Linked DNA regions of Ovis aries. The protein of the gene in region 1 purifies or fractionates together with the protein of each later gene. This does not show direct contact. Links are inferred from orthologs where the notes say so. Each region holds a gene or a part of one and is shown on either strand. Other genes may lie near its edges.

Region 1 (4,344 bases):
ACACCTGATGATCAGATGCCAGCATTAACTTATTTGCCGGGTGAGGACATGGAGACAGAGACTGCTACTTGAACAGTCATATCATCAGAAAGTGGAGAAGCTGGCATGAGTCAGGCTCACTGACCCCCAGGCTAACCCCTCTGCCACAGGTCCTGTAAGCAAATCCAGTACACATGGAAACTAAAATGCCAAGTGCAGCAAAGGCTGCAACAAACTCATGTTCATCTGTGCTGACAGAAATCTTCCAGCAACAGTGATCCACTCCCAGCTGTCAGCGGCAGAGTGTGTACAATTGGCTGACAGCAGAGAATGATGGTTAAGAGCATGGAACTCTGGAGCCAGACGACCTGGGCTCAAATCCCAGCTTCACCACTCATTAGCTGTACAGCTGTGGGTAAACTGCCCAACTTCTCTGTACTTCAGCTTCCTCATTTGTAAAATGGAAATAATAATAAACACTTACCCCATACTGTTGCTGTAAGGATTAAGTGAGTAAACATATGTAAAGTACTAAAACAGACATTAAGTATTCAAAAATATTTATTACTAGCTATTATTTTTATTACTTAGGGCAGATGTAAAGAAAGTATGGGATAACCTCAGCAAAAATTCTGCCCCAAATGAGGAGTAACTATGTCTGCCTTACAATCTGAGTGATGGTAGTGGAGAAAGCATGGGCCAGGGGAGTCGGCTTCCCAGAGCTAGGTAGGTCGCCAGCAACATGTGTGGCCCTAGGCAAGTCACTTGATCACTCCAAATCCCAGATCCGCAATGTAAAATGAAGAATTTGACTCTAATCCATGATTTCTGCTACTGAGTCTTCAAATCAAAGGCTCTTAAGAGGTCCCTGTGTTTTACTTATACCCATTAGGATGGCAATTATCAAAAAAAAAACAAAAAGCCAGCAAACACCAGGTGTGGTGAGGATGTGCAGAACCTGCTGATGGGCATGTAAAATGGTAGAGCCTCTACGGAAAACAGTATGATGGTTCCTCAAAAAATTAAACCAGGAACTATCTCATGATCCAGCAGTTCCACTCCGGGGCATGTACCCAAAAGAACTGAGAGCAAAGAGCTGCAGGGATGTTTGTACAACGTGTCCACAGCGGCATTACTCGAGACAGCCAAGAAGTGGAGACCACCCAAGAGTGGATCAACGTTGATGGATGGATGAATGGATGGATGATGAATGGATAAACACAACGTGGTATAAAATACAACGGAATATCATTCCGCCTTAAAAACAGGGAAATTCTGACACATGATACAACATGGATGAACCTTGAAGACATCATGCTAAGGGAAATAAGCCAGTCTCAAAAATACAAGTATCATATGATTCTACTTATGTGAGCCACCTAGAGGGGTCAAATTTATAAAGATAAAAAGTAGAATGGTAGCTGACAGAGACCAGGGTGAGACAGGAATGGGGACTTCAGTGTTTAATGGATGCAGGATTTCAGCTTGAGGAGACGAACAAGTCCTGGAGACGGATGGTAATGACAGTCACACAACAATGTGAATCTACTTAAGACCTAAGTAATAAGTACCACGGAAGTGCAGACTTAAAAATAAAATGGCAAATCTGACGTTAGGTCTCTTTTACCACAGATTTTTTTCAGGTTCTTGTACTGATTATTCTGCTATATTGCTCTCAAGAGGTATCAGAGGATGCTAATACGAACAGCTTTCTAAAGTTGGTCAAGGCCATCCTGCCATTGAAAGGCCCTCTGCAAAGAACAGATTGCTAAGTGAAGTCGCTCAGTCCTGTCCGACTCTGCAACCCCATGGACTGGGGTCTTTTGCGACTACCAGGATCCTCAGTCCATGGGATTTTCCAGGGAAGAATACTGGAGTGGGTTGCCATTTCCTCCTCCAGGGGATCTTCCCAACCCAGGGATCAAACCTGGGTCTCCCGCATTGTAGGCAGACACTTTTCCGTCTGAGCTACCGGGGAAGCCCACAGATTGCTAAACATGTACTGAAAAAGAGAGGAAGCGATTTCACGTGGAGCTGGGGGGACTGGGGCAGGCTGCTGGGGTGGAGGAGCTAGACAGCCAAGACAGACAAAGACTATTACGCAGCTCTAAGATCAGCTCCAAACTCAACTGTCCTCTCAAAGACTTTTTTTAATTTTTATTTTTAATTTTTTAATTTTAAAATCTTTAATTCTTACATGTGTTCCCAAACATGAACCCCCTTCCCACCTCCCTCCCCATAACATCTCTGTGGGTCATCCCCATGCACCAGCCCCAAGCATGCTGTATCCTACGCCTGACATAGACTGGCGATTCAATTCTTACATGATAGTATACATGTTAGAATGCCATTCTCCCAAATCATCCCACCCTCTCCCTCTCCCTCTGAGTCCAAAAGTCCATTATACACATCTGTGTCTTTATTCCTATCTTGCATACAGGGTCGTCATTGCCATCTTCCTAAATTCCATATATATGTGTTAGTATACTGTATTGGTGTTTTTCTTTCTGGCTTACTTCACTCTGTATAATCGGCTCCAGTTTCATCCATCTCATCAGAACTGATTCAAATGAATTCTTTTTAACGGCTGAGTAATACTCCATTGTGTATATGTACCACAGCTTTCTTATCCATTCATCTGCTGATGGACATCTAGGTTGTTTCCATGTCCTGGCTATTATAAACAGTGCTGCGATGAACACATGTGTCTCTTTCCATTCTGGTTTCCTCGGTGTGTATGCCCAGCAGTGGGATTGCTGGGTCATAAGGTACACTTCCCAGCAGAGACGGTTCTCAAACATCTATGGTGGCAAATGACTGCTAAATGAATCAGTGCTGAATCAGCCTGGAGCATGACCAATAAGACCCCGCGGGCTCTGGTTTCTACTTATTTCTCCAGAACTACTCTCACCCTAACGTTAGCCCTGCTCTCACTCTCTTCGTCTTTGTCACAGTGTGTTTATTTCGATCCTTCCCTATCTGGCTGCCTGCTGCCTTCCCCACTCTGGCAATTTCTTAGCCCTTAGAGCTCGGCTCAGACATCACTTGCGTGGCGAAGCACTCCTCTTCCCGTTATGAATATTCATAGCATTGCACAGTTTTCCCTTACAACAAAACTGAATGTTAGGCTAATTATCTGACTGTCAGTCTCCCCCCAAAACTTGAGGCTGCTTCAACTCCAGCATCTAGCAAAATGGTTCTCGCCCAGTAATTATTTTTAAAATACGTCATCTTAGATAGGGCTTTGGCCTACCACGAACTCTTTCAAAAGGGTGGGGAAGAGTCTAAACAGAAACAGAGGGGAGCGCACTGAGCGGCCGCTGGCTCTGGAAGCCTACCTGGAGGAGGCAGCGGCTCGTCATGGCCCGGTAGCAGGCTCTGTGGCTCTTGACTGTCGGCCTCTCTCCCAGGCAGTAGCCCCACCTCTTGACCATGTGAAACCGCTTCGCGTGCCAGATGTGAGTTTCCAGCCATTTGTTCTTCTTCTGTCTCCGGTTAAACTCCAGTATGCGGTTTATGTGACATCGTCGAGCTTTATGGCACTTATTTTTTGAGTGTTCTTTTTTCTGATGAACTGCTTTCTCTGCCTATAGTTTCAAGAAGACAGGCAGATCCCTGTTTGTGACCATCTCAAAACAAAGTTAAGTGTTAGGAATTCAAAGAGCTAGTTTTAGGTGAAGTGAAATACTTTAGGACTCCATTAGTTTGTGCAATTTTTTAATTTGGTGATTTTTTCCAACAAAAGTAGAGGAGGTCACAGAAAGAATGAAGATTTTAGGAAAAGGCAAACCTAGGAAGGAAGCTCAGTTCTATCACTCATGAACTGGGCAAACTCTGGGGCCTGGGAAGATTAGAATATTTACAAAATGTTCAACATAGTAAGTCAAACTGATGTGTGGCTAACAATATCAGACAGGAAGAAAGAATAAATCAGATGCTAGTTCTTCATTGTTCTCTTTCTAGTTTTTTTAACCTCTAAGATCATAATTAAACCCCAAACTAAGGACCAAAAATATAAAAGTGGGAAAAACCTACACAACTCACATCACTTAAGTACTGAAAGACAAATGCTAAACGCTTTCATGAGGAAACAGACTTCTCATGAAATCGAGAAACTACAAAATTCCTGTTTAGTTTTCACTCTTCCTCTTCCATAGCTAAGCTAAAGTGCTGTGGGAAAAACTCTTCTCCATTAGCGTGTGGGCCCCTTAAGAAGATTCTACCTTAATGGACTCTAACCCCACCACCAGCACCATGCCAGTACCTAGACGGCACTTGACAAAGAAATTCTGAATCAATTAATGAGGATATAAGGTGCTTGGGCAATCACAGAATGACCAAACCAAGAATTTTGGTAAAGCCAAA
Region 2 (4,258 bases), on another chromosome or scaffold:
GCGGATGCCCAGTGCCAGCCCAGGGCAACCTTGTTGTCAGGACAGTTTACATTCTCTCCACACTTCCTGGGCTGCTCCTGAGAGAGTCAGACTCACACACCCCAATCCCTTGGCTCTCCCTAGGGACTCATCAAGAACAAGCCATTAGGGAGAGCAGCCAGTGCCAGAGTCTCTTTGACAAGGCCCACCTATCCAAAGCTCAAGCAGAGCTGGGGGTGAGGGTGAACTCCCTGAAGAGCCCCTTATATCAACTGCAGAAACCTACCTCTTGTTACCAGCAGAAGGATTTATTTCAGCTTTTAGCCTACAAAGTGACTTACATATTTCCCCATCTCCTCCTTTCCAAGGATGCTGTTAAGTTGCAAGGGGACAGGGTCTGCTTCTATGATCTTGGAGCTACATGCCCCTCCCCCTCATATTTGCTAGAGTTCTTCCAGTACACAGCACTCCTTCCACCCTCCCACCTGACTTGGAGTTGGGCAGAAAGGCTTATAAGGCTGTTATCTCTCAACAGACAGCTGTGCAGGGCCAGAGGCAGCAGCTTATCAGGGAGCCTGCAGTGATTCACAGCCCAAGTCCCAGCTTCTCTGCTGAATAGTAATTTCCAGCAGTGGATTTGTGCTCAGTCTCTCCTCCCCCTCTCCCAAGGGTGTGCTGTCCTTTCTCAGAGAGAGCGAGCGAGCAGTGAAGGGTAGATTCTATCCATGGGGCTGGGGGGCTCTGGGCCAGCCGTCTGGTAGGGCTGTTTATTGGCAGGAGGCTGCAGGCTTAGGGAGCCCAGTTGGATCTGCCACCCTTGGCAGTGACCCCCAGGATAGTTCATTGATGCTTCCCTTCCTCCCCCTTCCAGAAAAGCAGTATGCTGCTCCCTTTCCCTTAGTGGTAGCACATAAGGTGACCAAGGTCCCCTTCTGTCCACAAGCCCTGAAGCTACTGGAGCTAGCCAGGGAGGGCTGAGAAAGAGGGAGGAACCAGGCACTGGGTAAGGTGCTCCCAGCACCATTTCAAAGCTGTCCAGTTTCTGTGCCTGACCCATAAGACTCCAAAAGCTAAGGATTCCAGGCTGGAGGGGACTGAGACACAAGGGGGCAGACCAGAGCAGTCTCTACACAGGCTAGTGGTTAGGAAAAAACCCAGGGACAGAGCCTTTTTTGTGTTTGTTTTATTGGAAGCAAGACTCCAGCTGTGGGGCTCAGGGGAGGCGGCATGGAGAGTTCTGTCCTGGGTCTCTCCCTCTGGGCCAGCATGGGGAAAGTGGGATGTTAAAAGAGCCTATGGAGACGCCCCTGCCACCATGATCTCAGGATGCTCCTTAAAAGCAGGGAAAGGAAAACTAGAAACTGTCCTGGGGTGAGGAGCAGAATAGCCCCTTACCCCTTGCCACTCAAAATCCCCCGCCCTCAAGCAGTGGTTTCCAACCCTTTGCCCTCTGCTGACAATGGTGGGGTGGTTTCAAGAGCTCTCCTCAGCTTCCACCTTCGTAGCCCACTTCAAGAATCCTACATGAACCTTTAACCCTTGGGGTTAAAGGCTCAAGAATCCCATTGCCCACCATTCCCTCCCTGAAGAAGGTCCCCGTATGGTTCAGAAAAGCTGAAAGTGTCGTCAGGCAACACAGCTGGAGGAGCAACCCCACCACGAAGCTTCCCTGGGGTCCCCCCTTGTCGCCTTGGGGTCTATGCTTCCACGTTGTAGGTTCCAGAGTACCAAGGCGTGAAAGGCTAGAGATGCATCTCAAGGTCGAAGCTCGAGCGTAGGATTCAGCCCGTCCAGGTGGCCCAGAGGCCGGAGTTCTCAGGCGGTCTGGTCCTCTTCAGCAGCACCTGGCTCGGGTTGTGACCTCTTCGCGGAGCTCTCTCCAGCAGTAGGTTCCCCTAGACTCCTCTTGGACGTCGGAGCAGTTGGCTGGGACGAGGGGCCGGGATGGGGGTTCGGCGGCTGGTACCCGGGTTGGCGCGGATCCAGGGCATCCTTGGAAAGTAGGATGGCGAGGCTGGGCACGTTCTTAAGTACACTGAGACTGGCGGCTGGCTCGCCAGGCTTCTGCCCCGGTGTGGGCTCCGGAGGGAGGCTCTGCCACAGCTCGCGCACGCTCTGGTAGCGCAGCCGCGTGACCTGATGCAGACCCGCCAGGCGGCGCTTAAGGATCTCGGCACACGTGACGGTTTTGGTGGTGGCTCGACCGCAGCCGCTGAAGACGATGGCGCGCGTGGCTGGCTGCGCCATGCTGGCAGTGGCGAAGGCCAGCAGGTTCCGGATCTTGCTGCCCTCCTTGACCCGCATATGCACGGCGCCCGGCGCCAGGTCGGCGAAGGGGCCTGAGCCTGGGCCGCCCTCCTTTTCCCCGCTCCCCACCGGCGCCTCCTCGGAGCGCACCTTACGGAAGTTCTCCATGCGCCGTCGTTGCGGGGACGCGGGCTTCGCCATCGGGCCGCCTCAGCCCCGGGAATGCATGTCGGTGGGTCGCGTCCCGCAAGGGCCGGCAGGGTTAAGGGTGCGGGAGCGGCGTGGACGCTGGCTGGCCGATTGGGACGGTGCGATCCTAGCCTTCCACTTCTCTCCACTGGGCGCTGCTCTACTCGGCGATCTCGGCGCCCTGTGCTACGCGCCTTTAGCTGAGGCCCCGCCTCAGAGCCTGGGAGCCCCGCCCCTGCCGCCGGGCCCCGCCCCTTACCCAGCCCTGCCAGCTCGCGCCCAGCCTCACCAGCAATTCGCCCGCATCCACTCTGGTCCTCTGATATCCGGGTTTGGGAGGTGCGCGCATCGCGGGATGCCATGGCAGTGCCAGGAGTGACCTGCCAGCTGAAGTTTCCCTATAATCACCATCAGCCCTCCCTGAGCCTACCTTCATAAACCTGCAACCTAAATAAAAACTGCATTTGCTGGGCAAACTCAGCTTCAAGCCGGGTCCCCGAGCCCTTCCGCGGTTCAGCTGAAGGCCACCCACCCCTTGCCCGCTCCCAATGAGAGATTTCAAAGCGGCCTTCTGGGGACTGGGACCTCTTTCTCCCACTCCTAGAGGAACGACACCCCCACCCCCACCCCATCCCTTCGCTCCCGAGCCTCTCTTCTCGCCTGAAGGACAGCCTGCACGCTGTCAGCAGAGTGTAGTAGGCGCCGTCTCCGCTCCGCGTCTGCCCTCGACGACTATGTCTCGGCATGGTCCTCGCAGGACAACCGGAGAACTGAGGTCTCAGGCTTGCCGCGCCTGACCGGAGCTGAAGGCTCCCAGACACCCCTGCTCTGCGAACCGAGGCTCTGGGCCAGGCTGTGCCCTGGGATGAATGGGACGAGAACAATGAGACTCCCTTCTCAAGAGGAGTTAAGCTCCCTCCATCCATGCCTGAAAGTCGAGTATTAGAACTGCATGCCCTAGAGTAAGCCAGATATTGTCCTCTGCTCACGTGGATCCCCTTTCTTCTCAGGTGGAATTTGTTGTTAGTCAACCGGGCCCCCTGGGACCCAGTGGGGTCCTTTTCAGAAAAGAGGCTGGGTAAAAGCAGGTTTTGAGGGAGAAGGGAGGTAGCTGGGAAACGGAAATCTCAGGGACAGTTACCGGGTGCCCCTCCCCTGGAACTCCGCAAGACCGAGGGAGTGGCCCGGGATCTCTTTCCAGGAGAGATGGACAGTGAAGGGAGAGATGAGATTGGGCTTTAAAGGACTGCTGATGAGAGAGAGCGGGTTTGTGAAGAATACAGCTGTATTCTTCCTAGAACTGCCCCAGGGCCTCGTCCTTCATCCTTCCACCCCTCGCGGGACACACAGAACTGAAGGTGGGCCAGACCTGATCCGGGTAGGGGTGACTACGATGGGGCGTGGCGGGGTGGAGCCCTGATAGCTGCGGCGGACAGGAAGCCCTTGAAGTGCTGGGGTCATCCCAGTGCCTGGGAGAGCTGGTGCCGAGTCTTGAGACGGGGCTGCTGGGGTCCCCCTCCTCTCCTCCAGGCTGCTTTCGCCTTCTCAGTAACTCGTATCTCCTAGCGCTCGGCCCTGCTGTTTGGAACCCGGGACTGACTCCACTACGGCCCTTTGGGAGTGACTGGAGAGCAGGTGGACTTTTGAGCCCCAGTACATGAATGACCATCCTCTTCTGGGATCTCCTGCTCGCACGCTGGGGAGAGAGGCTCTGGAGGGCGCTTTCGGCTCGGAATCTGTGTTTCTGGCCTGTCGCAGCTCCCGCGGCCCCACCCCCTACCCCCCGAGGAACAGCCGTAGGAGTCGAAGGGCAGCAGTCTGGTGAAGACACAAGAATTTGCAG

What was found.
Region 2: the proteins of POP1 (region 1) and RPP25 purify together in Homo sapiens (affinity purification with mass spectrometry; 3 studies listed by BioGRID and IntAct, counting the BioPlex papers as one, with this or other methods). This does not show direct contact. The link is inferred for Ovis aries from reciprocal best matches to the Homo sapiens genes POP1 and RPP25.

Annotation. Positions count from the first base shown.
Region 1 is NC_056062.1:79,008,710-79,013,053, forward strand, and holds part of POP1 (ribonucleases P/MRP protein subunit POP1), read right to left. Parts: intron 3,567-4,344; coding exon 3,318-3,566; intron 1-3,317. UniProt on the Homo sapiens protein: Component of ribonuclease P, a ribonucleoprotein complex that generates mature tRNA molecules by cleaving their 5'-ends. Also a component of the MRP ribonuclease complex, which cleaves pre-rRNA sequences.
Region 2 is NC_056071.1:31,412,480-31,416,737, reverse strand, and holds RPP25 (ribonuclease P protein subunit p25), read right to left. Parts: upstream 2,585-4,258; 5' UTR 2,428-2,584; coding exon 1,795-2,427; 3' UTR 1,146-1,794; downstream 1-1,145. UniProt on the Homo sapiens protein: Component of ribonuclease P, a ribonucleoprotein complex that generates mature tRNA molecules by cleaving their 5'-ends. Also a component of the MRP ribonuclease complex, which cleaves pre-rRNA sequences.